Oryzias latipes: one gene and its partners. The protein of the gene in region 1 interacts with the protein of each later gene in a pairwise test. Links are inferred from orthologs where the notes say so. Each region holds a gene or a part of one and is shown in the gene's direction. Other genes may lie near its edges. The genes, in order: rint1, sfr1, c4h19orf25, lmo2, rbm41, dcx and sgf29.

Evidence for each region.
Region 2: the proteins of rint1 (region 1) and sfr1 interact in binary tests that used the Homo sapiens proteins (3 or more experiments, as listed by UniProt). The two-hybrid records come from large-scale screens. The link is inferred for Oryzias latipes from reciprocal best matches to the Homo sapiens genes RINT1 and SFR1.
Region 3: the proteins of rint1 (region 1) and c4h19orf25 interact in binary tests that used the Homo sapiens proteins (3 or more experiments, as listed by UniProt). The link is inferred for Oryzias latipes from reciprocal best matches to the Homo sapiens genes RINT1 and C19orf25.
Region 4: the proteins of rint1 (region 1) and lmo2 interact in binary tests that used the Homo sapiens proteins (3 or more experiments, as listed by UniProt). The two-hybrid records come from large-scale screens. The link is inferred for Oryzias latipes from reciprocal best matches to the Homo sapiens genes RINT1 and LMO2.
Region 5: the proteins of rint1 (region 1) and rbm41 interact in binary tests that used the Homo sapiens proteins (3 or more experiments, as listed by UniProt). The two-hybrid records come from large-scale screens. The link is inferred for Oryzias latipes from reciprocal best matches to the Homo sapiens genes RINT1 and RBM41.
Region 6: the proteins of rint1 (region 1) and dcx interact in binary tests that used the Homo sapiens proteins (3 or more experiments, as listed by UniProt). The two-hybrid records come from large-scale screens. The link is inferred for Oryzias latipes from reciprocal best matches to the Homo sapiens genes RINT1 and DCX.
Region 7: the proteins of rint1 (region 1) and sgf29 interact in binary tests that used the Homo sapiens proteins (3 or more experiments, as listed by UniProt). The two-hybrid records come from large-scale screens. The link is inferred for Oryzias latipes from reciprocal best matches to the Homo sapiens genes RINT1 and SGF29.

Annotation. Positions count from the first base shown.
Region 1 is NC_019881.2:11,295,945-11,299,444, forward strand, and holds part of rint1 (RAD50-interacting protein 1), read left to right. Parts: intron 1-1,069; coding exon 1,070-1,244; intron 1,245-1,565; coding exon 1,566-1,676; intron 1,677-2,842; coding exon 2,843-3,068; intron 3,069-3,500. UniProt on the Homo sapiens protein: Involved in regulation of membrane traffic between the Golgi and the endoplasmic reticulum (ER); the function is proposed to depend on its association in the NRZ complex which is believed to play a role in SNARE assembly at the ER.
Region 2 is NC_019873.2:20,002,453-20,006,426, forward strand, and holds sfr1 (swi5-dependent recombination DNA repair protein 1 homolog), read left to right. Parts: upstream 1-1,229; 5' UTR 1,230-1,484; coding exon 1,485-1,565; intron 1,566-2,054; coding exon 2,055-2,363; intron 2,364-2,441; coding exon 2,442-2,630; 3' UTR 2,631-2,794; coding exon of another isoform or gene 2,795-2,967; 3' UTR 2,968-3,059; coding exon of another isoform or gene 3,060-3,213; 3' UTR 3,214-3,292; coding exon of another isoform or gene 3,293-3,373; 3' UTR 3,374-3,474; downstream 3,475-3,974. Other genes in the region: cfap43 (cilia- and flagella-associated protein 43), read right to left, coding at 2,795-2,967, 3,060-3,213, 3,293-3,373. UniProt on the Homo sapiens protein: Component of the SWI5-SFR1 complex, a complex required for double-strand break repair via homologous recombination. Acts as a transcriptional modulator for ESR1.
Region 3 is NC_019862.2:22,306,367-22,309,831, forward strand, and holds c4h19orf25 (UPF0449 protein C19orf25 homolog), read left to right. Parts: upstream 1-1,241; 5' UTR 1,242-1,400; intron 1,401-2,064; 5' UTR 2,065-2,087; coding exon 2,088-2,229; intron 2,230-2,340; coding exon 2,341-2,522; 3' UTR 2,523-2,965; downstream 2,966-3,465.
Region 4 is NC_019864.2:14,855,688-14,859,914, reverse strand, and holds the start of lmo2 (rhombotin-2), read left to right. Parts: upstream 1-1,427; 5' UTR 1,428-1,893; coding exon 1,894-1,934; intron 1,935-3,256; coding exon 3,257-3,472; intron 3,473-3,650; coding exon 3,651-3,876; 3' UTR 3,877-4,227. UniProt on the Homo sapiens protein: Acts with TAL1/SCL to regulate red blood cell development. Also acts with LDB1 to maintain erythroid precursors in an immature state.
Region 5 is NC_019872.2:28,310,418-28,313,917, reverse strand, and holds the end of rbm41 (RNA-binding protein 41), read left to right. Parts: intron 1-331; coding exon 332-479; intron 480-3,156; coding exon 3,157-3,275; 3' UTR 3,276-3,307; downstream 3,308-3,500. UniProt on the Homo sapiens protein: May bind RNA.
Region 6 is NC_019872.2:14,750,330-14,753,829, reverse strand, and holds part of dcx (neuronal migration protein doublecortin), read left to right. Parts: intron 1-106; 5' UTR 107-168; coding exon 169-532; intron 533-1,596; coding exon 1,597-1,937; intron 1,938-3,500. UniProt on the Homo sapiens protein: Microtubule-associated protein required for initial steps of neuronal dispersion and cortex lamination during cerebral cortex development. May act by competing with the putative neuronal protein kinase DCLK1 in binding to a target protein.
Region 7 is NC_019866.2:654,406-658,380, forward strand, and holds the start of sgf29 (SAGA-associated factor 29), read left to right. Parts: upstream 1-1,175; 5' UTR 1,176-1,294; exon of another isoform or gene 1,295-1,519; intron 1,520-1,669; 5' UTR 1,670-1,676; coding exon 1,677-1,742; intron 1,743-3,866; coding exon 3,867-3,942; intron 3,943-3,975. UniProt on the Homo sapiens protein: Chromatin reader component of some histone acetyltransferase (HAT) SAGA-type complexes like the TFTC-HAT, ATAC or STAGA complexes.

The DNA of each region.
Region 1 (3,500 bases):
TTTAGTTTTCACCGTCTTTGACTCAGGTGGAATTACAGCATCAATGTCTGACTGTAGTTTGTTGTTAAAATGTTCAATCATACAATGCAGGTAAAATCTGAGCGGGAGTTTGGTGTAAAATATTGATCAAATTTGCAGCCACATCAGGAGTTATGTATCGTTTCCTCACAGTTCTCTCTGGAGCTTCATGTCGAGTAAAACTAGTGATATTAAAGAATACGCAATAGTGATCTGAAACAGGCATGTCAACAACAGAGGACACACTACAGACCATAGGTAATTAGTGTGCCCCCTGTTTTTATCTCCCCTGGTAGAAAATAAAAAGTAAATTTTAGTGGGGAAGCCTCAGTGAGAACAACAGGAGCATCAGTACCAAGCCAGGTTTCAGTAAAAAAAAGGCAATCTAAGTTGTTATCTAAGATGAGCTCATTCACAATAAAAGATTTATTTAAAAGAGAGCAAATGTTTTAAACAGCAAAGGTGAAAATTATGTGTGACTGCAGATGGACTTTTTCATCTTTTTTATCCGGTAAGGTGTGAATGTGACAGAGATATCTGACTGTGAAGCTGGTGGTTCTGAGCCGGGGGTGTTTCTGCTTATATGAACTGGGATGTGTTGTGTGATAGATGTGGCTCCAGCTTAAGATGGATTCTGGCGGTGGTCCAGTCCATGGTTTACATCACCATGGAAACACGAAGATGGTGCCCTTACACCTCCTCCTTAAGTCCTTTGTAACACCTACAGAACATCTCACCGCTGTCTTGCACGACCCTAACATTCTTCTGTCCCTCGAGACTTCCTCATGGAAATCCTCTCTGTAGATCCTGTCGTAGACTTTCTCTACATCTGCAAAGACGCATTTCAGCCCTACGTTTTCTCGTAACTTTTCAGTTTTATTCCTCTGTAGTTACTACAACTTTACACGCCTGCCTTCTCCTTAAAAATGGACACCCACCAAATACGGTTTTATGTTTGCATTTAGTCAGTTAGGAGACGTGTTGATCGTCATAAAGGTTGTCACTTGAAAGATCAGGATTGTCCGGCTCGTTTCTTTAACTTTCACCGCAGTGACGACTTCATTTCGCAGAGAACCTCTCACCAGCCTGTGCAGGTCTCGTCTCCACCTCCACCTCCACCTCTGGCCGTCTCCGTCTGTCTGCCTGTTCAGATCATGCTGCTGCCAATCTGCAAGAGGTTCCGATACCACTTCTATGGAAACCGGCAGACGAACTCCCTCAACAAGGTATCTGCACTAAAACCTCCTGCTGGGATTGTGTTCACACACCACCCAGAGCAGATTTAACGGAGACGGGAGATGAATAACAGAGAGAGCTTCCAAAAGACGTCAGCTCCCAGGAAAAGAGCACGAGTCTGTAAATATTCAACCCATCGTGTCAATGGGGTTTCATTTATGAGGGACGCTAATGCAAGTGGCAGAAAAGAGTTCAGTCATACAGGGCGGGGGGTGGGGTGGGGGGGGTCTCCTTCTAGACAGGGCGAGGGTGTTCATTGGTTCAAATTGAAAGTTGTAAAAACCTCGTACTGTGTTTGTGTCCCTCCTCAGCCAGAATGGTACCTCACACAGGCTCTGATCTGGATGGGCAGCAGCGCAGCCTTCATGGAGGAGAAGATCCAACCCGTGTTTGACCGAGCCGGAGCCGCCATCAGCGCCAGGGTACGAAGTTCCCCAAACAGAGACACGTTCATGAAGATGTTGCTTTTATCCTCAGTCAGTGAGATGATTCAACTTGAACAGTCAAAATTACTGCAGGAACAATAATGCTACCATACGTCTGTCTTTGTTGTCTTGTTAATATTATTACATTTTAGTACATTTTCATGGTTGTCTTCAGTCTCCTGTTTGTGTTGGAGCATAAAATGCAGCATGAACATTTTTGAAGAGAAAACTGACTGGATTTTAGGTTAGAGTTTCTGAGTGTTAGGAGTCTTTCTGGCTTTTAGCTCTTTGTTAAGTAAAGGTGAGGCCTATTTGTTGGTTTTTGGTTTGTAAAGCAGGTTAAAACTGTACAATGTCGCCCTGTTGTTTCAGCTGTGTGTGCTTTGTGTGTTCATGAATGCTGCTGATTGTTGTGCTTGTGGGTTTGTCTGTCGCTTTTGTGTGGATCACCTGTAGATGTGACTGAGCTTTTGTGAAACACAAAAACTCACACAGTTCACTTCTCTCACCTAGTAATATTAAGCTAAACCTCACCTGTGAGAGCGTTTCTGTGTGCACACGCGTGTGTGTACTCACTTGCGTGTGTTTGTATGGGAAAACACCTGTGTGTGTGTGTGTTTTTGCACCTAGGTTTTTTTGTGTTTGTGTGTGTGTGTGTGTGTTTTTGTGTGTGTGCACCTGAATGTGTTGGGGTGCACCTGTGTGTGTTAACACCGGTGTGTGTGTGTGCATACACCTGCGTGTGCATGCACCTTTGTTTGTGTGCATCTGACTTGAGTTTTTGTGCATACTCACTTGCGTGTATGAATGTGTGCCAACTACCTGTGTGTGTGAACCTGTGTTTGTGAGTCTGCACTGCTGTGTGTGTACAGACCTTCGTTTATGTTTTGGGAAAAAACACTTCTATGTGTGGGTGTTTGTGTGTGCAGTCCTTTGCATAAATATGTGTTATCTAACCTGTGTGTGTAAGTGGGTGTTTGCAGGTGGAGTTGTGTTGCGGCCTGGTGTCACCTGTGTGTGTTCACCGGTATTTGTGTGTCTGCACACCTGTGTGTGTGTATAAAGAACTTCGTTGGTGTGTGGACATACACACTTGTATGTATGCGGGTGTACTCCTGTGTGTGTTTGTGTGCACTCTAACCTGTGTGCGTGTGTGTTTGCAGGTGGAGTTGTGTCGCGGCCTGGTGTCTCTGGTCCAGGAGAAGGTGGCTGCTGATGCTCCCAGAATCCTGTATGATGATGCCCTCTTCTGCCACCTGGTGGAGGAGGTGCTGCAGTTTGAGAAGGAGCTTCGAGGCAGTCATTCCTACCCCTCTGCCCTCCCTGGACTGCTGCACATCCTGCTGGAGGACGCCGTCCTGCAGAAGTGGCTCGCTGTGGAGAAGAAGAGTGAGTTCTCAGGTGTTCCTGACTAAACGGTGGCTGGAGCAGCCTGAAAAAAGATCACAGTGACCTGAAATGCAAAATACTTTAAGTTGTAATTTATCTAAAGACAGGATGCAATATAGATTTAAAACAATATCAACATTGATTTGATGCTTTTTCTTCAAATATTGCAGCAAATAAATCTTGGTTTTTCTAAATGGATATAATGCTGATTATAATCATTGTAGTTCCACTTTTGTGTAGTTTTAAACTCTAAAACACTTTTTTTAAAGGAAAAACTGGTTTGGAAATGAAACGATTAAAACAGATTAAAGTAAAAGCAAAAAGACAAATTTCACTATTTCAATTCAGATTCAGTTTAAAAACGTTTACTTTAATTTTTTTATTTCTATTTTGAAATCAGTTTTGTTTCACTATAAAAAACAAAAAAAGAAT
Region 2 (3,974 bases), on another chromosome or scaffold:
ATGCCACGGTTAATGCCGACTTCACAAAGCAAAAATTACACGCAAAAAACATTAACTTACACAAATAGCAATTACCCTTCCCTCAGTTGTCCTTACAAGGAGTATTAAAAAAAATCTCTTGTTCCCTGGGGTGTGTAATATCACACTGCCAAATGAGTTGCTAATGTTCGTGTCCGGGCACAACCACATTTGAAGGTATAACAGCTTTCTCCTCGTGGCTATAAAGGCTGACACACAATAAGAGAACCATCCCACATTTGTGAGAAGATTAAAATAGCTATAGACTTATAAAACCGATGAATCAGCTAATGAGGGAAGGTGAATCACAACATGAATCAACTCCAGATAACCACCACACAAAAAAATCTCTTTAACAATATTCTGAATTTTGGAGCAAAACACTCTTTCCCATTGCTATGGTAGTTGTTTTGCCTGACTTGATTATTAAACTACTTAAATTATAATTATTTAAATGTGTCTTATGTAAACACAAATAGTTTACCAACAATTTTTTAATTTTATTAAAAATATGTATTGATCAAATTTCATAAGAAGAAACAAGCTACTTAATCCCATGTGTGAAAAAACTTCCTTTGTGTTTTTTTATAAAAAAATGTTGTTTTCTCCATGAAGCAATTCATCAAAAAAAGAAAATTCTGTTCATTAACATATTTTTACAGGGCAATAGACATGACATTCAAATAAATAAATAAAAACTGTTCCTTCAAACTAACAATTTGTGCACACAAATTCGAATTTTTTTATTGCGTTCACACAAATTTGCATCTCGTGACCAAAATTTTGCTTTTTATTAACATTTTGTAGGCAAAAGTTACTGTTTTGTGAACACAAATAATTCAAATTACTGTACTAGCCAAATTTGTTGGCTTAGAAATTGTGTGTGCACAAATTAGCAGGCTATTATGTAGGCCTATGAATTAATTAGAATTTTGTGCCAACAAATAAGTATACTGTGGACACAGAATGCTTATAAATTACAAATTAATTGCCCAAAAAAATGCTAAATTGTGTGCACACAAAAAAATTTAAGGCCACATATTATTTTGTTTCTCTTTTTTTCATATTTTTTTTATATATATGTACATTTAAATATGATGTTTAAGTAAAATTATTCCATCTTAAAGCCAACAAGTTAAATGTGCGACTGCGTTTGAGGAATAACTTCATATCCCAGAATCCTCTTCGGCTAAACGTAATCAGTTTCTGTCCAATCATTGATCTTCAGGACTTAGAACCGCAAAAATACGGAAAAACAAGATCAACTGTGGTGTCATCGCCTCAGCTTAATTTTTCCACATGGAAATGTCTTTGATAAAAATTCAATATGGTTTATAATACTTTGTTATAGTGCCTCTAATTTTTTTCGTTCTTATTTCAGCCGAGTCAGATATATTGAGCGTTTTCTCAACTTTAAGCTAGGCTATTCTCGCAGCTAAACAGACTTTTCATGCTAAATCTGACGGATGGAAGTCACTCCAAAACACGAGTATTCATCACCCTGCTGCCCAGAAGAGTCGACCCCCTCGGGATACAGAGAAGAGAAAGTAGGTGACTGAATGGGATGTGTGGTGCACTACATACGACGTAGTGTTAGGTCCACCATGAAAGAAAAAGTCTAAAGAGACGCCGAGGGGAAAATTTTACGGCAATAAAGTTATGCAATTATGAGTAAAAAAAATAGCTCTTAAGTTGTAAATTTATGCTTCAAAAAGTCTACATCTTATAAGTAAAAAGTCACGCGTGTTGAAATTAAAATGTTACATTTTAGATTTTTTAAATCATGTCATAGCGAATTAATCGATTTTTTTTTGTAAATGTACAACTTTATTTTCGAAAAAGTACGACTTTTTCATGTAAATGTATAATTTTTTTAAATCATAATTTTACATATTTTTTAGTTATATAATGTAGATTTTTTTTTTCTAATATTTGTATGACTTTATTCTTGTAAAATGTTAACTTTTTTCTCTTTTTATGCTGGCCTTAATACTCCATCTGTGATTTTTTTTTCTTTTCCCCTCGTATCATCCTAGTGTTTTTCAAAGCTCAGCACTTCGCTGAGGGAAAGATTGAAAAGATCCAGACGCTCCTTTGTTTCTCCTGTCTCTGTGGCCAAACGCCTTTGTGTGGACGATGCAGAGGATGAAGGGCCACACATGTCAGCAGACTCCAAGGAGGCTGTCAGGCAGCCTGCAGAAATCCCACTCAATGACAACAAAAGGGAAGCCCAGTCAGGCAGTGAGCAGACGCCTGAAGCTTTTTTACAGCACCTCAGGAAAGAAGTCAAAGAAAAAACAGAGACTCTACGTCGACTCAAGATGGTAAAGATGTACAGAAGCAAGGTACCAGCCATTTTTCAAACATCTTCAGGGGATCACCGTTTTGCTTTGCCGTAACACTTTTCTGGTCTTTCCCCCTAGAATGATTTAACCCAGCTTCAAACTTTGATCGACAAGTGGAGGCGTTGCTCCCAGAACGCGCTGTATGAACTCCAGTCAGATGTCACTGTGGACGGACGAAGGGCGAATCTGTCTGAGCTTATAGACCTCTTTGGTTTGGACGATCACTTTCTGCACTTTGACCGCCCGGAGGAGGACTTCACTACTTAACATGTTTTTTTTTTTGTTTCTGTTTTTTTTTATTTTACGACTTAAGTACCAGCAGATTAAGTGGTTCTTAATCACTTTATTTGTTGCAGGTTCTTCACAGCAAAAGCACATTTAATGTACAGAGAACTTTTTGCTCAGTTAAGAAACAAAAAAAAATGTTTCACTCAGCTGTATTTCAGCTGATAGACTGAAGTGAAGTTCTTCTTCGTTAGACGTTCAACTTCCGCTAAAAGGACTGTCAGTTCCTCAGCCTGAGCTTTGACTAGAGCCTTCAAGTTGCTTTTCACAGCAAGCTCCAGGTGCCGCTCTTTGGCTTTTGCTTGCTCTTGTTCAGGGCCTAAACAACCAAAATAAAAGCAGATAAATATTTATGCTTGTCTGGGATGACGGAATCGGCGTTTGGCGAATGTTTGTCGATCAGAAACCAACCTGCAGCTTCAGAGACGTGTCTCAGCTGCGCCACGTCCACCCGTATGTCAGGAAGCTGCAGCTCCAGAGTAGAAGTCTTTTTGCTTTTCACGTCAGCTTGTTTATAAAGCTGCTCGATTTCCTTCACACACTGCTGGATGCACTGTTGATGAGCCTGAAAAAGTAAACAGAGTTGTTCATAAAAAAAGCATAAAAAGGCTGGTTTATCGTTGCTTTGTCACTTTTCATGTCACCTCCGTCATGAAAGCAAGGTTTTTCTCCAACATGGACGCTTTCTGTGAAATGCGAGTGCCTTGTTCTGACTCGCTGTAACGCTGGAAATAAAAAAAGAGAAACGCATTAATTAAAAACAGTGTTTCATACATTTTTGCTTCTCCCTTCTTCTCAAATGTTCAATAAAGGCTTTTGAAACACATGCAGCAAAGCTATTTGTCATGCAATGTAAAACCTCACTCTGCCTAGATCTATCTACATTCAAAATTTCTCTCATGGGGTTCAAACAATGTCAGGAAGGCGAACGCTGCACAGCTGCTGAGCTACCTGTACCTGCTGCCAAAGAAAACTGGCAATGCAGCCTGGAAACTTACCATTTTACCCTCTGGGTTGTTAAAAAATAAAGCCAAAAATTAGTTAGTTGGTCTGTTTTTGTGTTTGTCCTCAAACTTTCAAAACTATTTTTAACTTTTAGACTGTGTCCAAAAGCTACATATCGTCAAATAAATTGTCTTATATTTGATTAAACAAACCAATCTGTCAGATTTTGAAAAAATGATATAAAAGAAAGTGACATGCCTACTGAAAGAGGTTTAAGTTCAGCAAATGAAGGGGGAAAAAACCCTGAGTCAATTAAAAAGGGTGTGAGTCTCCTATAAAAGATCATTCATCTGCACTGGGAGATGGGAACAATTTTCTGTT
Region 3 (3,465 bases), on another chromosome or scaffold:
GAAACTTGTTAAAGATCACCATCTACCTTAAGGATGTAGAGAATCTCTGTTGTTACATTTTTACTTGTTCCATCTTGATGAAAACAATCTTAGAATTCAAAACGTTCTGATTAAAACAAAACTATGTGAACTCTGTCCTTTTGAAGTGTTGTTTTTGTTGCTGCTTACAGGTTTTTGTTGCAGAATGTTGTCAAAATCGAACATTTTTCAGAAATGTTTTGTTTCTTTAGATATTGCAGAGTACGACACACTTTTAAGGTGGGTGTGATCTCTAGATGTTTTTGTCTTGCTTACGTGATTTGAGAAGAAATTCAAATTCTGCATGTAGTTATTTGTGCTGCAAAAAGTGTCTGGTTCAAATCCCAGCTTTCTTCTTTTGTTGTGGAGTTGCAGCATTTTTCTGAGCATAGGATTGAGTGTGGCAGCCTAAATGAACCCCTCAACATTTCCAGGTTATTTGCCCCCCTCCCAAACCAAAGGAAGCTGGGATAGGCTCCAGCCCCCTCAATGACTCACCACAGGATAAAGCTGGACAAGGAGATAGATGAATATTTCATTTGTCTACCTTATCTGGCCTATTTAATTTCTTTTCAAATCCAGGATTCAGAGCAAATAAATGTTTACTTTTTATTCACCAATATTTTCACGCAAGTGCAACTTAAAAAAAAGTCTTTGTACTTGCTCACTTTTTTTGAAATGAAGAGGAATTAAATGAATAATAAAGAGGAATTAAATGAATAAAAAATTAAATGACCCTTAGAATTGCTTTATCTGCTGTTTTTTATTTGGCCTCAGGACTTTTTCTTTTATGGGGGTAATCTTTAGCACCACCCGCAGATCGTTTTGTAGTTTGCCAGTTTGCTACATTAGCTTGCTAAATTTGAAGTTTCGCAAAAAGGTTTCAATCTAAAACTACATTTCAAATTATTTATGAAATATACTAAATATACTAAATATAAACTACAAACTATGTGAACTTTATTGTGACATTAATACTTTTCCTTACTGACTTCATCTTTCTGTTTATTATTTCAATTAAATTTACCAACATGAATCATATTATTTATTTATTTATTTATTTATTTATTTATTTATTTATTTATTTATTTATTTATTTATTTATTTATTTATTTATTTATTTATTTATTTATTTATATAACAAAAAAGCTCAGTTCTTGGTGCAGGTGCCACTCCAAACCTGAAGGGGGAGACAATGCACCTCAAGGATGGTTGGCACCGGATGTCAGTTTGCGAGAGCCTGCGCATGCGCTGGGGGTGCTCACTGTTGACGTGACGCGTTCATGTTCGGCTCTTGTTGATATTTGTGCACATATCACGCCAGTTTTGAGACCCAAGATGCAGTTGAGGGACCGAAATTGACAACAGTTGCATCCGTCTCGGTAAGGCTTTAAAATCTTTACTTTTGAAACTAATCCCGAGTTTGTTTTAGACCATTTTTCTGATACAACTAAAACCTCTTACAAAATGCATAACGTATAACTTTACGCCATTCTTTTCTTATTAAAAATGTAAATGTTTTGAAAATATCGACTGAGAAACTTTTTCATCGTTGTGGTTCTTAAACGTGTCTTTCAGATTAATTACTCGTCGCTGTTTATATTTGTCAGCAGATTAGCCTAATGCTGGTTTCCCTGTATCTGAAATTAAATCCTTAAAAATATTTTCGAAGTTTTAATATGCAAAAACTTGCAGAACTTTCTCAGTTCTTTCTGCAATTTTAAACACTGTTTCGGCTGTGAACGATTTCTGGCTGCTATTTAGCCTCATCACATCACTAAAAACCTATCTGGTGGCTCCACACTGATGAATAAATGAATGGACGAACTTTATTAATCCCAACAATGGGAAACTCAGTTCCAGTACCTCTGCAGCTCTTTAAGAAGAATAAGCACAAATAAAGAAATGCTACATGTTTAAATTAATTATCTACAGACTTATTGATACTAAGCAGATCATAAAAGAAATTTCTGATTAATGCAGAGGTTCTGTATAAATGTACATTTTGAGGGTATTTCTTGCAGAACATCTTGGTTTGTATTTCAGAAGTTGGAGTCAGTTTTGTTGTAATGAACCTCGGATCGAAAGGCAAAAAACGGGTGGTGCTGCCCACCCGCCCCGAACCCCCCAGTGTGGATCAGATCCTGGAGGACATCAGCAGAGCAGCTCCAAATGACCCAGTCTTCAGCATCTTGGAGAAAACTGGAGAAGGCGAGTCTTTGTCCCCCAAAATAAAGTTGACCACTTTATTTTGCCTGCGAATGATGGGACTTTGATTTTAATGTTTGAGTGAATGTTTGTTGTGTGCTTTTCGGCCTCTAGATCCGACCCTGCCTGCAGACAGCGAGGTGGAGTTCAGGTTCCAGCAGTGCCGGCAGTATCTGAAGCTCAATGAGAGCCTGAAACATGCTCAGGGTCAGCTCCAGACGCAGAGGGGGGAGCTGCAGGCGGCAGGGGAGCGGCTGGACAGCAAGGTGGCTGAGGTCAAAGGCCAAGTTCTATAATCCCGAACTGAATACTGAACTGTTACTGCGGTGCCAACAAGCTGAAAATGAGTGGTTTGGAATGGGAAAGTCATTATCAGTTCAAGAAATGAATCAATCTTGAAGAGTAACTGGAAAAAGGGAAATGTTCCTTAGGCTGAATCGCGACTTTCTGCATCCCTTCTCCAGTCGCAGAGGAATTCAGCTGTGTCAGTGTGTACTTGTTTGGGCTGCTATATTCATAAAGCTGATATGAGCTTTTTTTTTTTGTTTTTTTAATATATTAACCCAGGTTCTCAACAATTGTTTTCAAGTGAATGTACAGAAGGTTTAGGGTTTTCATTTCTGTTTTATTTAATCTACTTGTAGTAATTTTTCTGAACACAAGAAAACAGAATCTACTTTTTGATTTTTAATGCTATCGTGTTAAAACAGAGACAAGAAATAAAAATGGAACTAATTAATTTGTAGATATTTTATTCATTTATTTTGAAAAAATTTGTTTTTATAAAACATTTTGTAGAACAATCTGTGTTTTCATGGAAACACCTTTACAGAAGCCTTCTAGAACCTTATAGTTGTTTGGGTTGGAGAAGAAATGGTGTAAAAAAAAAAGTAACCTGGGTGTTTGATAAAATAAAAGCCCAACACAATGGTTTTAAGAAAACACCACTTTTATTAGATGATGGCATTTATAATGACACAACCTGTCTTTTTCAAATGAGTGACCAATGTGGCCTGGTACACTTACAGGTGGGAATTTGACTCGGCTACAAACTTTGATCCCGTCCTGTCTTGAACGAGGCAGTTAACAGCGGCGGTGAAGAGCTGCAGACGTTTGTTAATCTATTTGTCATGACAAGTTCAAGCTGCTAAAGTGTTGCTTTTACTCACGTTTGTCCATTTACAGTCATTTTACTGCATCTGCTGAGGAAGAAACAGCTCAGACGGATGTTTTAGACAT
Region 4 (4,227 bases), on another chromosome or scaffold:
CTTGAAATATGTTTAATTTGGCAAAGTGTCAAATTATATATTCTATTATGTGAAACAACAAGTTTTAGTTAATTCTGTGTTTGCGACAGTGCCATACATTATCTCACCCATCAGGGACAGAGAGGCAACAGTCAATTGAACTGATCCATTTAAAACTTTAAGAAACCTCATGTTTTAGTCTCCGTTAGTCTGTTAAATTAGTTTAGCAGTGATGTTTTTCTGTGGACTCACATGTTTGCTTATATGTTTTTCAACAGTTCCTAGGAAAGCTAAATGTCAAATGCTTTGACATTTGTCAAATGCTCTTAGTCTTTCACAACCTCTTGTAGTGAAAGAGATCAAGTTAATAGTAGTAATAAAAAGTTAGCTTTTTCTGGGGTGTTTTTTTTTGTGTGTCTCTTTCGGGGTCACGGGGCTGCCGGAGCCTATCCCGGCCACTTGTGGGCAAAGGCAGGGGACATCTTTATATGCGCTGGCCTTTATTAAATAAATAAATATAAATAAATATAAATATAAATCCTGGACAGGTCGCCAGTCAGTTGCAGGGCCTCAATCACACACTCACACCTAGGGGCAATTTAGAGTAACCAATGAAATGTTTATGATGTGGGAGGAAGCCGGAGTCCGGAGAGAAAACCCACGCATGCATGGGAAAAACATGCAAACTCCACACAGAAAGGTCCCCCATTGGTGTTCTGTTTCAGGTCCCCCAGCCGGGACTTGAACTGGGGGCCCTTCTTGCTGCAACCAAGAGCACTAACCACTGTTCCCCCCCAAAAGGGTAGTTACAGTTCTGATAAATTTATTTTCATCTTTATGTTACCCTCACTTAATCAAAAATATAATATAGTAAAGTAACTCAGATGGTCTGGCAATTGTTTTTTCTTTAATGTCATAACCAGGGCTCTGTAGATCAGCTTCTCTGCAGCAAGATCTTGTTCTCCTGTTTTTCCAATTCTGTACAGTAATGATGCCACATTTATTTAACACAACATTAACCGAATAGGGGATAATTCCGATAAAGCAAAAAATAAAGTTCAGAAAAAATATGGTTTTGAGATAAAATATGACACATGTAAACATCTGATTCTATATAGCAAATTACACCTTTAATCCACATTTTATACTAAATTGAATGAAAATATATTATGAATTGTCACCCCCCCCCCCCCCCATTTCACACATTATATATTAAACATTTTAATAAACAGTTCAAACTGTTTGTTGGGTTTTTTCACTATTTACTTTCTATTGAACTGTTTTTCGTTTTGGATCCAGCTCTCTGTTCTGTCCTAATAACTTTCTCTACATGATGATGGAGCTGCGGGCCAGGACACTTGTCTGCTGACATCACGACGTTGGTTATCTTTGCTCCATCAGCGCCTCAGGGGGAGAGAATTTCCCCTCACGTCAGTGTCGGTCACGACTCCGCTCCACGCCTGACAGAGCAGCCGGCGCGAACTTCTGTCGCTTTAAGACCGATTTCCCCCCATTGTCAGGCAGTCGTGAACAGGAAAAAGAGCAGTCAGTCACAGAATGGGGTGGGGGGTCATCCGCACGTTTAAGGCAGCTCCAGTCTAACCCCCCCTGGCCTGTGAGCGAATCCGCGGTGTCCTGGATGGCGTGGAGGTGCCAGCGCGCGCGTCAGCCCCAGGAAATGATGACAGCGTCCTCCATCGCCGCTCTGCTGACTAGAACAATCGGCCTTTTTGGTTATTCCTCCGCGAACATCTCGACTGAAGTCATCTTCCTGAATCAGGTCGTGCAGGGGGGATCTGGGCGCCGGTAGAGGCAGGTGCAGCGGCTGCGCAGGAGCTTCCCGGGACGCCGCAGAGAGACTAGAGGCTGTGGAGTCCGAACCCCGGAGCTGAGGCGCAGCGCATCTGGAGAAGAATGGTATCCACCATAGAGAGGAAGACGCTGGAGGCCAGCGAGTATGTGCTTTCCTTTTCCAAAGAATGAAGCTCAGGGTTCCTTAAGGCTTTCAAGGACATTGTCATCACAATTTAGAAAGCAACCAAACGGCACGTTATTTTAGGAAAGCAACCTCTGCAGTTAGATTCCACAAACAGAAGGTCTGGAATATGCAAAAGGCTTAGTAAAAAAACTAATCTTCAGGAAAAAACACACTAGACAGCAGTACAATTAACTATGCAGAACGTTAGTTTTACTTAAGAAATCTTATAGCAAAAAACATAATAAAATAAAATCTTGAAACAAGAAGTTCCACAGTAGCATTCTAAAAGGGGGAAAAATGGGTTAAAAAATCTAACTATTAGAGAGAATTACTGAAAACTGATTGTTTTAAAGCCCAATAAGTATTTTTTGTCATAGTTTGAGGCAAATGGTTTGTATTTTTTTTAAACTAATTGCAGTTCATCTTAATTGCAGTGCCAAAAAAACGAGTGTAATAAATGGAAATGACTTATTTTAGAACAAAATGTGAACAAAACCAGAATACGATCTAGCACATTTACTTAGAACATAAATCTAAATGTTTGTTTTGAAATTTAATGACAATAAATGGCAGTCTACATTTAATAAACTAAAAAATAACATCCTAACTGAACCATAAAACACAACAATTTCAGTGCATTTGAGTCATATATTAAGTTTTTATTCTGTTAAGATTTGGAGCAAAATGATTTTGACTCAATTTATTAATAATTTCCTTATTTCTACATACTAGTTCCTAATGAGACATAGGAATGTTTTCCACTGTACAGATTTTAAGAAAATCTTGGAAAGGTGTAGAGCAAAAGACAAATAAAAACAATTTCCAACCAGTTAAAATATCTTGAAAGTCTAAAACCAAGGTTTACAATCAAGTATCTATAAGTATCCCATAGTTTGTAGTGTGAGAAAGGGGAGCAAACAATCTTGTAACAGTACAAAAAAACAAATTGTATTGTATACACTTTCCAAATGTATTAATTTAGTATTTTAATCTGAAATATGCTCCTTCTCCAACCTTGCAGCTCCAAGCTACAAGACAAAAACATAAATAGTAGCATAAACCTTTGCAAATCAGTTGATAAAGATAGAATTTATCGGGGCACTAATAATGACATTTTATAGAATATGTTACTTTCAAAAGAAAATTGTATCAATTGGATAAAATGTGTTTGTTTTTTTTGAGCTAAGAGGAAAATCAAATTAAATTACAATAAATGAAGACTATGATCGATCTTCAGGGAATTCATAGATGATGAAAGTTCAATCCAGTTGTTTTTAATCTTCTTTTCATTTATATCAGGGAGCCGGTGGACGAAGTCCTGCAAATGCCCCCCTCCCTGCTGACATGTGGAGGTTGTCAGCAGAACATCGGGGACAGGTTCTTCCTGAAAGCCATCGAGCAATACTGGCACGAGGACTGCCTGAGCTGCGACCTGTGCGGCTGTCGTCTCGGAGAGGTGGGCCGTCGCCTCTACTACAAGTTGGGAAGAAAACTATGTCGACGGGATTATCTGAGGTTGGTCTGATGTCAATGATTATCTGTTTATTCCCTTATTTGAACAATTTATAAGAAGTATGCAGATCTAATGGGATATTAGGGGAGCACTGTCTTTTATTCTGGTGAGTCAGTTGAATGGAGATGCTGGAATGTCTTCTTGTAACATTGTCTTCCTTATCGATCATGCTCCACTCAGGCTGTTTGGTCAGGACGGTCTGTGTGCTTCCTGTGAAAAGAGGATCCGGGCGTTTGAGATGACTATGCGTGTGCGAGACAAGGTCTACCATCTGGAGTGTTTCAAATGCGCCGCCTGCCAGAAGCACTTCTGTGTGGGTGATCGCTACCTTCTCATCAACTCGGACATTGTCTGTGAGCAGGACATCTTCGAGTGGACTAAGCTCAACAACAGCAATATGGTGTAGCAGAATCTCTGACTGCTTTTCAGGATGGGATGGAACAAACCAATATCGCGTGGGCTCTGAACAGAATCCCTTTTTGCAGCCCGTATGGGTTTTATCGACCAACACATCGGGACTACAATGAACACAATGTAGTGTTGCACCATCCTGTGGAAATAACAACACCAGCAATACGAAAATATTCCCAAATGCAAAAAACGTTTTAAGTACGAAAAATTCTTAAATATGCAAAGAATAGTTTTGAACTTTGTAGAAAAAACAAAACAAACTTTGTTTTAAGGTTGTAAGTTGTTTTTGTCAGGCCTTCATATCTACAAGTGGATTCAAAACTTTAATTAGAAACTGGGTTGTAAT
Region 5 (3,500 bases), on another chromosome or scaffold:
GCTTTGCAGATTTCTAGATCAAATGTTGACTTTCATCTGATTGGTTCGTTCTTTGATGACCTCAAACTGTGGTTTCTGCTGGAAAGTCAGTGTCACTGGATTCAAACAACTCTGCAAAAAGGGAAACAAATTTCCTCCACACACCTCAAAAACTCTGGAGTTTGTTTGCAAAGACCGACTCGAGGAATTTTAGCGATAGATTTGAAATATGCAACTTTTAAAAGCTTCTAATTCTACAAACTTTAAAGTGACGCAGTCAAAAAAAAAGAGGTGGTTCTGCAGGTTTGAGATGGAAACGTGAGCAGATTAAGAGCTTGGGTTTTGGTTGCAGGTTCTGTGTGTGAAAAACGTCAGCACACATGCATCGCTGGCCCAGCTGGTGGCGCTGTTCTCCAGATTTGAGAAGAAAGACGCCGCGCCAATCCTTTACCGCCTGCTGACGGGTCGGATGAAAGGTCAAGCTTTCGTCACTCTGCCAGGTGAGCGTCTGCGGCGAGCGTCGGTCGGGTGACTTCCCCGCCAGAGCTGCAGAGGCAGAAACCAAGCTTCACTATGGAAAATGATGCAACAATAGGATGTCAAATACTTTAAATAGGAGTTTGTGGAGCTCCCATTTACTTCAGTAATACACTCTCTCACTGCTTCATTTAGTTTATGATTGGCTCTAACAGTGACGGGAACTACAGAACTTTTCTCCAAAGTTCTTGCTTTTTTCTGCCAGGAGCCCAGTGATGGTGTGAGGTCATGTGGCTCCTCCCTTTAGGGGCGCCACCTCCATCTAACCCTCTCCTCCACATCCATGACCCTCCTCTGTGTTCTTCCTCTCTTTCCCCATCATCCTCCTCCCCGGTCCTCCTCTCAAACCGCCTCCATCTGCTTCCCTGCATGGATTTCCAGAACATCCGTGATCTGTTCCTCTGATGGATTCAAGGATCCATCCTGGTCCCAAACAGAACCTCCGCCTCTTCATCTCCGCCTCCTTTGCTTTGGTCACACCTGAAACCTTCCTGCACCTCCTCACCTCCTTCTGGGCTGTTGATCCTCAGAGTCCTCCACCTCCTCCGCCTCTGCTCGCTGTAACCTCACCATTCCTCTGGCGTTCCTCTCACGCCGTCCCCCAGCGGCTGACCTTCATTCCTCTCCTCTCCGGAGCAAACCTCCACTTTCGGATTCCAGCGTCTGCACATGATGCGATCTTTCCGTGTGCTCTCCTTCCTCCTCCTCCTCCTCCTCCTCACCACTGGCATTTCCATTCATTCAGCAGCGTCCACTACCGTCTGTCATGAACTCCAAACTTCTCCCTCACTTCCTCTTCACCTGTTGCCTTCACTCAGACATCCGTTAAAGTCTGCTCTGGTTCCTGACGCGTCTCCCTGCTTTCACCTGGTCCTGGGGGCCGCTGCATGAAGGTGTTGGACTGTGCCCCCTTGTGGCTGCTTTGTTTGCAGCTCTTTTTTCTTTATTCTGCTAATCCAGTGCTTCTCAATTGATTTTTGCCAAGCCCCCCCCCCCCCCCCCCCCAGGAAAAAGAAAATGTTTCGCGCCCCTCTAACCCGCCACCCCCCCCATAACCTCCCCCCACCACAAACACACACACACACTCGCCGTGGTGACAATATATTAGGTTAGTATCTATAAAAACTGTGTAAGTATACCTAAATTGTATCTTTTAACTAACAAAAGAAAAATCCACTTTCAACAAATATTAAATTTATTTATCCACAGAAACTCTTTTTTAGTCTAAAACAGAAAAGAAGCCTAAAGTGCCTGAAATAAAAAAAATCTGTTATTATTTATTTATTATTATTATTATTAGTTATGTCCTTATTTAAACTGGAAACATTTTGACCAACTGAACTATTTGATGCTGAGAAAATATTTCAGTCAATACAAAATATTAAATGTAAATTGATCTGAATCATGAACACAGCAGCATTAATATATTTAATATTTTTAGTCTGAAAAAAAAGGTTAAAACAATTGTGCTGATTATTTTTCTAAATGATGATTGTTCATTCATGATCTCATAAAGTGCAGCTGTTTTCCTGCATTACCTGCTGTCTTTATGTCAAATACTGACACCAACTAAACCACAGGCAGACAAAGATACATTGATGGAAAATAAAGACACGCCATCAAAATGTCTACAATAGTTCATAAAGAATGAAGTTATTAGAATAAGCTTAGGAATCTAAAGGCACACCATGATCCTGGTGTTGGGCAACAGGCAGTGTTTGCAGCTCTCCACGTGCCCCGTGTCACCTTGCAGCCTTAGCCCACTGCCCCTCCCCTCTCTCTCTCACACACGCGTGTGACAGGAGACGGGAACACGCAGCTGCAGGGACGGGGATTCACAGCTTTCAGGCCGTTACAAACTCTGTGATAGAACAGATAATAGGAAACCAATAGTGGACCAGATTCTTGCCGCTGTCCCCCCCCCCCCCCCCCCCCCCCCATTAAATTTGCGCCCCGTACAATTGCCCGTGTTATCCGTGCATAAAACTGCCACTACTGCGTCCCCCCCCCCCCCCCCCCCCCCGGCATTGCACTGTGCTAATGGATTAGATGCATTAGATGTAAAAAAAACTGAGTCGGACTTCCTGACTTTATAACCAAACTAATTGTCGTGACATCAGTTCACCCACTAGGGGGCCTTTCAGGTTGGCCGTCTGCCTGTAACGGTTGAAATTCACGACAAATCTGGACTTAACTGCAGCCGGATTCCAGAAATTTTCTCCCCTCTGAAGTGAGATGAAACCTCCACCACAGCTGGACCGGCAGGAACGTTTTAGGAACCACTTTTCATTTCAAACCGTAGAATTTCCGTGGCTTTCAGTGGACGGACGGACGGCCCTCTAATCACTCCTTCTAGAACGGCGTTACCAGGCGCGGTCCTGCAACGGTCGGGGGTTTTGTTTGTCCCCTTTCTGAAAGGCGGGGCCACAATGGCGCCAAAGTCCCATCAGTTCATGTCAGGAATCAAACCATTTTTGTCTAAAAGGTTCACAGTGTGAACATTTTAACCCCAAAGCTAATGCAGAAAAACGTCCTTCACTCCGGACCACAGTGACCAGAACCGAGCAGAACTTTCTTGATGTGTGTGACCCTTCCTCGTGACTCAATCGGCGCTCCTCTGTGTTTGTTTTCCCCCGGCAGACACCGAGACAGCCCAGCATGCACTGCACTTGGTCCATGGATACCGGTTGCTAGGGAAACCTTTGGTGGTCGAGTTTGGCCATGAACGACAGGAAGAGAAGACGGAGGAGAAGCAATAAAAACACAAAAAGGAAATATTTCAACATGTTAAGCAGTTTTCACTGTTTTATCTTCTATTATGACTCAAATATCATTTGTGGTGGTGGGGGGGGGGGGTCCTATGGATGACTTTATCTGTGAATAAATGTTTTTAAAGAAATGATTTTGTTATTTTTCTGTGTATTTATGAAAGCATCTTTCTACATTTACATTCAGGAAATTCCCTCAATAACAAACTTGTCTTT
Region 6 (3,500 bases), on another chromosome or scaffold:
TTCTGCACATAATGAAAAAGGGTACTCTAATGTACGAAGATGTGTAATTATCAGTAACTAGCTTAAGTAAATAACATTTTTGTTAAATATTTCATTCGTCTTGCAGACTCTCTGGCGCTGCTCTTCACTGCCTCACATCTGTCTAAACCATCACAGCTGTCAGCCATCATGGAGTTAGACTTTGGCCATTTTGATGAGAGGGACAAGGCCTCTCGTACACCTCGAGGTGGCCGGATGAATGGTCTTCCCAGTCCAACCCACAGCGCCCACTGCAGCTTTTACCGCACACGCACCCTGCAGGCTCTCACCAATGAGAAGAAGGCCAAAAAGGTGCGCTTCTACCGCAACGGTGACCGCTACTTTAAGGGCATCGTGTACGCCGTGGCCAGTGACCGGTTTCGCTCCTTTGACTCTCTCCTTGCCGACCTCACGCGCTCCCTCTCTGACCACATCAATTTACCACAAGGCGTCCGGTTCATCTTTACTATCGATGGATCCCGCAAGATCTCTACCCTGGATGAGCTGGAAGAAGGTTAGCACTTTGCAATGGAACACAAACGTTTTTTACATTATCTGTTCAAAGACTCTTGTATCGTAAATGGGACTGTAAGGTTTTGAGTTATTCTGTTTGGAGCCGTTTCAGCAGCCAAAAATTCTCTTGCAGTGTTTGAAGAGTTGACTTAGCTTGTTGAATTATTTTTTTTGAATAGTTCTTTATTAACTATGATGCTGAAAAACATAAAGTACAAACTTGCATGCAATGAAGTTATTTGTAAAGCTGTATCTAGCCAACAAAGTGATTAGGTACTAGATTTTACATCTATTCTTGATGCTACGTTCACACCAGGCTTGGAAATGCGCTTTTGAGCAACTGCTTCCAATGAAGTTTATGAAAAACTCACGCACATGCACGTTTTGAGCTTCCACGTTCAAAACTCTAGTGTTCACATGTCACTGCTTATGTTTTTAAGTAGTGATGCACTTGGTGATGATGTACGAGTACGATTCTTTTCAAAACACAGAACGGCCAATTGGTTGAAAATCGATCATGGAGGAGAAATTAATAATTACAGTTTGTGCTTGACTGGAATTATACGACAGTCTGTCATATGTCGGAATTGAGCTGTGAAAGAAAAAACCTGAAGCAAGACTTGCACAGCGTCGATATTTTGCGCAAAGTCTCTTCCAACTGTGAGTACATGTGCGAGTATTGGGTTGCAACAGAGCTGTGTGAACAGGATATGCTTAAAGCATGTTCAAGAATGCCTGTTCAGCGCACACATGCCCTGTGTGTACGTACCATGATCTATAATCTTTCACTGCCTACTACTGAGAGAACAAACTTTTTGAACAAAGGAACAAAAATGGTTGGGTTTATCTGAACCTATTATTGTACTGAAAACTACTTTGTAGGCAAAATCGATTTTAGTTTGAAGAATAAAAAATGTAATAAAATTTAATTAAAAAAATAAAATAAAATAAAAATTCTTTTCCCTTCTGGGTTAACTGGTATCTCCAAAGGTCAAAAGTTGCTTAGTGTTTCTGGTGTCAAATAGCTGATTGAGTTACAACACTAACCCATTATGTTTACCACAGGGGAGAGCTATGTTTGTGCTTCAGAGAACTTCTATAAGAAAGTCGATTACACAAAGAATGTCAACCCCAACTGGTCTGTGAATGTGAAGGCCTCAGCAAGCCAGAAGAACATGCAGTCTTTAGCAGCCAAGGCTGCCAGCGAGCCCAGAGAAAACAAGGAGTTTGTTCGGCCCAAGCTGGTCACAGTGATGCGCAGCGGCGTCAAGCCACGCAAAGCTGTCCGTGTCCTGCTCAACAAGAAGACGGCGCACTCCTTTGAGCAGGTGCTCACTGACATCACAGAGGCCATCAAGCTTGAAAGTGGTGCAGTCAAGAGGATCTACACACTGGATGGTAAACAGGTAAGTCCTACCTGTCAAATCATGGTGAAAGATGTGTGAAGCTGCTGATCGATTTGGTTATATTTAAAAGGCTTTTTTTGTTATTTGGAGACGGAAATAAAGCTGGGTTTAAACAGCATGTAAACATAACAGCTTCAAAGGAAAAATGTTGCTGGGATTGTGGACAATTCATAAATGATTACTGGACAAAGGACAGGCAAGTATTAGAATAAATGGAAAACTAGGTACCTGTAAATGCAAAGGGAAAAGGCCACATATGTAAAAAAGGAGCCGCTGTTTGCTGTTAACCTCAGTCAACAGTGATGTGGCAGGTCAATGGGAACACTGTTGAGACACCTTTGTTCATGAAAATCTCATTGTCTACATCCTTTGAGACTGCAACAGGAGTCTCTTGTGGTTCTGGACATCAATCACTTCTTTGGCTGTTTGACACTGTAGGCATTTAACTGCATAGCTGGACCTACATGTAAAGTTAAACACTTTTTTGGGTGTTTAGCTAATAGACATGTTTAACTTGCATCACACAGTTGCTACAAATTTGTTGTCTGCACATCCATGACGCCAATCTTCCGTTCCACCACATCTCACTACTGGAGGTCATTTGAAGACAGTGAACTCATTGTCATGTTCAAGAAACCAGTCTGAGATAATTCCAGCTTTATGACATGGCGTGTTATCCTGCTGGAAGTAGCCATCAGAAGATGGTACACTGGGGTCATAAAGGGATGGGCTTGGTCAGGAAAAATACTCATCAGATCAGGCAACGTTTGTCCAATGAGCCTGTGTGAATTGTAGCCTCAGTTTCTGGTTCTTAGCTGTCAGAAGTGAGACCCTGGTGTGGTCTTCTGCTGCAGCCCATTTCAAGGTTGGACATGTTGTGTATTCAGAGATGCTCTTCTGCAGAGTTCAGTTGTAATCAGTGGTTATTTGAGTTACTGTTGTCTTTCTATCAGCTGGAACCAGTCTGACGATTCTCCTCTGACCTCTGTCATCAATACGGCATTTCTGCCCACAGAACTGCTGCTAACAGGTTATTTTCTCTTTTTTTTTGTGACCATTCTCTGTAAACCCTAGAGATGGTTGTGGGTGAAAATCCCAGTAGATCAGCAGTTTCTGAAATATTCAGAACAGGCTGTTTGGCACCAACAACCATGCCAGTTTCAGTCACTTAAATCACTTTTCTTCCCTATTCTTAAGCTTTGTATAAACTGCAGCAGATCATCTTAACCGTGTCTACATGCATAAATGCAATGAGTTGCTCCCATGTGATTGGCTGATTCAAAATTTGTGTTAACGAGCAGTTGGACAGGTGTGCCTAATAAAGCGGTAACTGAGTGTAGACGCTCCAATTCTTTGTTTAATTTTTGGCAAGTTTTGGCAGCCACAGCAGACTTGGAGTTCAGATTTAAAGTAAATGTTGTGGCATAGGGTAAGAGCTGTTGCTTAATGTTGGAAATAACATACATGTAGAAAATGACTTTTGGATAATTTCATTGACGGAGCTCTTTTTCAGCAAGTGAACTAGGCTAAAAGCACACAATGCTTTGTCATTGTTCATTTTGC
Region 7 (3,975 bases), on another chromosome or scaffold:
AAAGTCTTTTTCATTTTTTACTATTAAAGGTGTTTTTTAAATGAACTGCTGTCTGTCTGTCACTGGGGGGGTCCCTGAATAAAACGATGACGCCGTCCTCCATAACTAGACTCATGAGTCTGCATTCACAGAATGAGGGGACGGTCTGTAAACCACATTTTAATGGCGGTCTGAGGAAACTGCTGGTTGGTCCGATTCCTGATCCGTTTCTGATCTTCACATCAAACGCTTTGTAGTAAAATCACATGTGATTTTCATTCTGCATCCTGTGAAAAAATGTCTTCTTGGAGAATCCGTCCATCGTCTGCAGCCGTCCGTCTGGAGAGACGATGGTGTAGCTCCTTGTTGAATCTACCTGCACCGCCGGGAATGGCTGTGCAGGTAGATTGTGGAATGGCAGTCCCTGCCACACCTGGTACAGGTGAAGGATGATGGCTCTTGCAGCCGCCGCTTCCTCCTGGTTCTTCTCTGTGCAGCATTCTCGTTCCGCTTGGCCTCTGCATCTGTTGTTCCCTGCCTGACTGAGTCTCCAGATGGGGCGATCGTCTGCTGGACTTTCCCATGTGTTGGGTTCAATGAAGCGCCGCCTCGTGTCCTCCAGACGTTTTTGTTTTGGACGCCCTCTTGTTCTATAGCCTTTGACCAGCTCGCCATAGAGGTCTTTAGGGATGCAGCCTGCATCCACTCTCATGACATGGCCAAGCCATATACCAACAATAAACTAACAGCCCCCACCTGTTAGACAAGGATCAAGTCATGGGACCCTATCCACCTTTCTGATGATCATTGTTGACATTTCCATCACATGACCCGTCTAGATCCACCTGAACAACTGAAAACTATTTGACGCTTCGTCGTTCTCCGCCCTCTCTCTTCTCCAAAGCAGAAAGACAACATGTAAACATACTAAATGGGTCATAAGACTCTTATGTCATTCAAGGATGTAAGTCTAGTCTGCATTCTGCAGGTGTCTGTTCCAGAAACTAAAGAAACCTCAGGCCAGGAGTCAATAATGTATATAAAATATATATATATAGAGAATCACATAAATGCATACAATCACTTAAAATACTTAAAATGTTATTTCCACTTTGAAACTATATAATCAATTTCTAAACTGGTCATGTGAGCCAGAACAAATGAGGGAGAAGCTCGTTCGAGCGCGTGCAGTACCACGTCTGACCAGCAGGTGGGGGCGTCTGCGCGTCAGTCAGGGAACCCTCAACAACGAAGAAGAAGCTGAGGCTAATCCGCAGTTAGCATATCTACAGTAAACAGAAACCGATCGCTGACGGTGAGTTTAAATGACAGAATCTTTTCAATAATTTAGACATTTTTGTGTTTCTAAACTTAATGACGAAGTTAATTATTTATAAACTTTGGAATAATTTAATTAATTTAGGGGGGAAATAGCTGCAAACGAGCACAGCTAACGCTTCGATGCTAAGTGTGACGTAGTCGTTTAGGATTTTTTTTTATTTTTAGGATTTATTCTGGTCCATTTTCGATTTCAAATAACGTAAGTGTCCATTTTAACGGAAAATGCAGTTTTATCTGAGACTCTCGCATAATAATCGTTCATCCTGTAGAGATTTAAACAAATATTGATAATTGTGTGTCAGCCGCGTTTTTAGGTGAGGTTTTTTTCTTCCTTTATTTTTTTTTACAGGTGAGAGATGTCTGCAGACACGAAGATCGCAGAGCTGCTAACGGAGCTCCATCAGCTCATCAAACAGACACAGGTGAGCCTTAAAAACCGCCGTGCTCCGACAGCTGACGTCATCAGACACCTGGAGAAGGTAAACAAACGCAGGTCTGCATGATTTGGACACTCAAGGAGATGTTGAGGCTGTAGACTTGATGAAAGCCTCAGGTAACTCCAGATTAAAGGGAAGCTGTTGGGTTTGTGAATCACCTGTAGATCTGATCAGAAACCAGTATCAGTCCTAAACCGGTTCCCTGGTTCTGGTACAAGTGCTGGCAGCAACTGAGAGGTATATTCTACAGTTCAGACTGTTTCTGTGTTTCTTCTAACAAACCTGCTCCAGAAAACTGGACAACCAGCCTCTCTAAGCGTGTGACCAAGATCAAAGAAACTTTTTGAAAAATATAGATCTACCATTTATTAAAAAATACTCACAGCTGAAAATACAAAAGAGGAAATATTAAAAACCATAAACACTCTGAAAACAATAAATCACCAGGCAGCAACGGCTTCCTAGCTGAATGTTATAAAACATTTAAAAACACACTTATTCCATTTTTACACAGATCTCTGAACTGGACCCTCCAAAGAATAAAATCCTTATTTCCTGGTCAGAAGCAATTATTTCAGTTATCTTAAAACCGGGGAAAACAAACAGTCATGTGCTAATTATAGATTACTAAATCTATACATCCATCATTTGTATCAGGATAAATACATTTCTACCTGACCTTCTTGATGAAGACCAGACAGGATTCATGAAGAGTCTGCAGACACACGATAACATCAGGAGAAGCTTGCATATAACTGAAAGCGGAAAGCATCCTCACCAGCGGACTAACAGCCTGGTTCGGTAACACCACCTTCAAAGAGAAGAAGATGCTGCAGAGAGTCATTAATACAGCTGGAAAAATTATAGGTTGCAACCTACCATCCATGGACACCATCTACAAACAGAGCTGCAGGAGGAGAGTGACTAAGATCATCAGAGACAGACACCACCCTGCTCATGGACTGATCCAGTGTGTGGACTTAGGGCACAACCTCAGGCGTCGCAGGCCTGAAAGCATCCATGAACACGCCACACGCTTCCACAACAGCTTCTTCCCAACAGCAATCAGAATGCTGGCAAATGACACCAGAGAGGAAAGACTGGACTAAATTACTAAGTGCAATAAACAATAATATGTGCAATAATTCTATGTGCAATAATGCTACTGTACAGATTGGGTCTCTGCAATATTCATTATCATATTTTACTGATATTTATATTTTTATACACCATGTAAATTTGTTGTCTAATTTTGACTTTTAACTTTATTCTATTTATTTTTATTTTCTTTATTATTTCTTCTTCAAATTTTTCTTTTGTCCTTTTTTAACTTATCCTGACATGAGAGATGCCAAAGAAAAATTCCGATGTACCGCATGTGCAAACGGCAATAAAACTTGAATCTTGGAAAAAGAGGCCAAAGAGAACGTAGAAGAACAGTTCTCTGAAGTATAGATGTGGAAAAAGCAGCAATACTGAAAAAGAATTCAACATAAAGATAACTGAGCAGGACTGGTTAGACGTGGAGACACCAACATCCCATCACTGGATCATGAACATGGAGACAGTTCGCCCGGAGAACCTTATAGGATTTTTTATTACACCTAAACTGAAAAACAAACAGTTAAAAACAAGTCAGAGCTGTTGGTGTGAATGTGGACCAGTCTCATGGATTTATGTGTGATGCTGGGTGGGATATCCAATTCCTCTGGAACCAGAACTGTTTTTTTTGGACATGATCTCTGGAAACTCTGTCCACCAAAGTGACAAATACTTAAAGTTCTGTCACTAGCCGCTAAAAAATCATTAACCAGGAACTGGAGCACTAAATCGATCAAAGGAGCAATGGACTTTAACGAAGAACCACTTCTATTCAACAGAAACTATAAGATACAGACTGAGACTGCAGGAGGCACGATGACACTGAAACACTTTACAACAAATAGAAACAAGAAGCACCTAGAATTGACCTTTGTTTTTTGTTTTCATGTAACAAAAACTAATACAAATAAAGTTTTTTTTTAAAACGGCTCCGGGCTTTGGAGAAGAACCGGTGTTCCTCTGAAACGGTTTTGGACCTTGGCGCTCCTGTGATGTTTGTGTTTTCAGGAGGAGCGGTCTCGCAGCGAACACAACCTGCTCAACATACAGAAAACCCACGAGAGGATGCAGACAGAGAACAAAAGTAAGAGCAGCCGGACCAGGCTCTGAGCGCTTC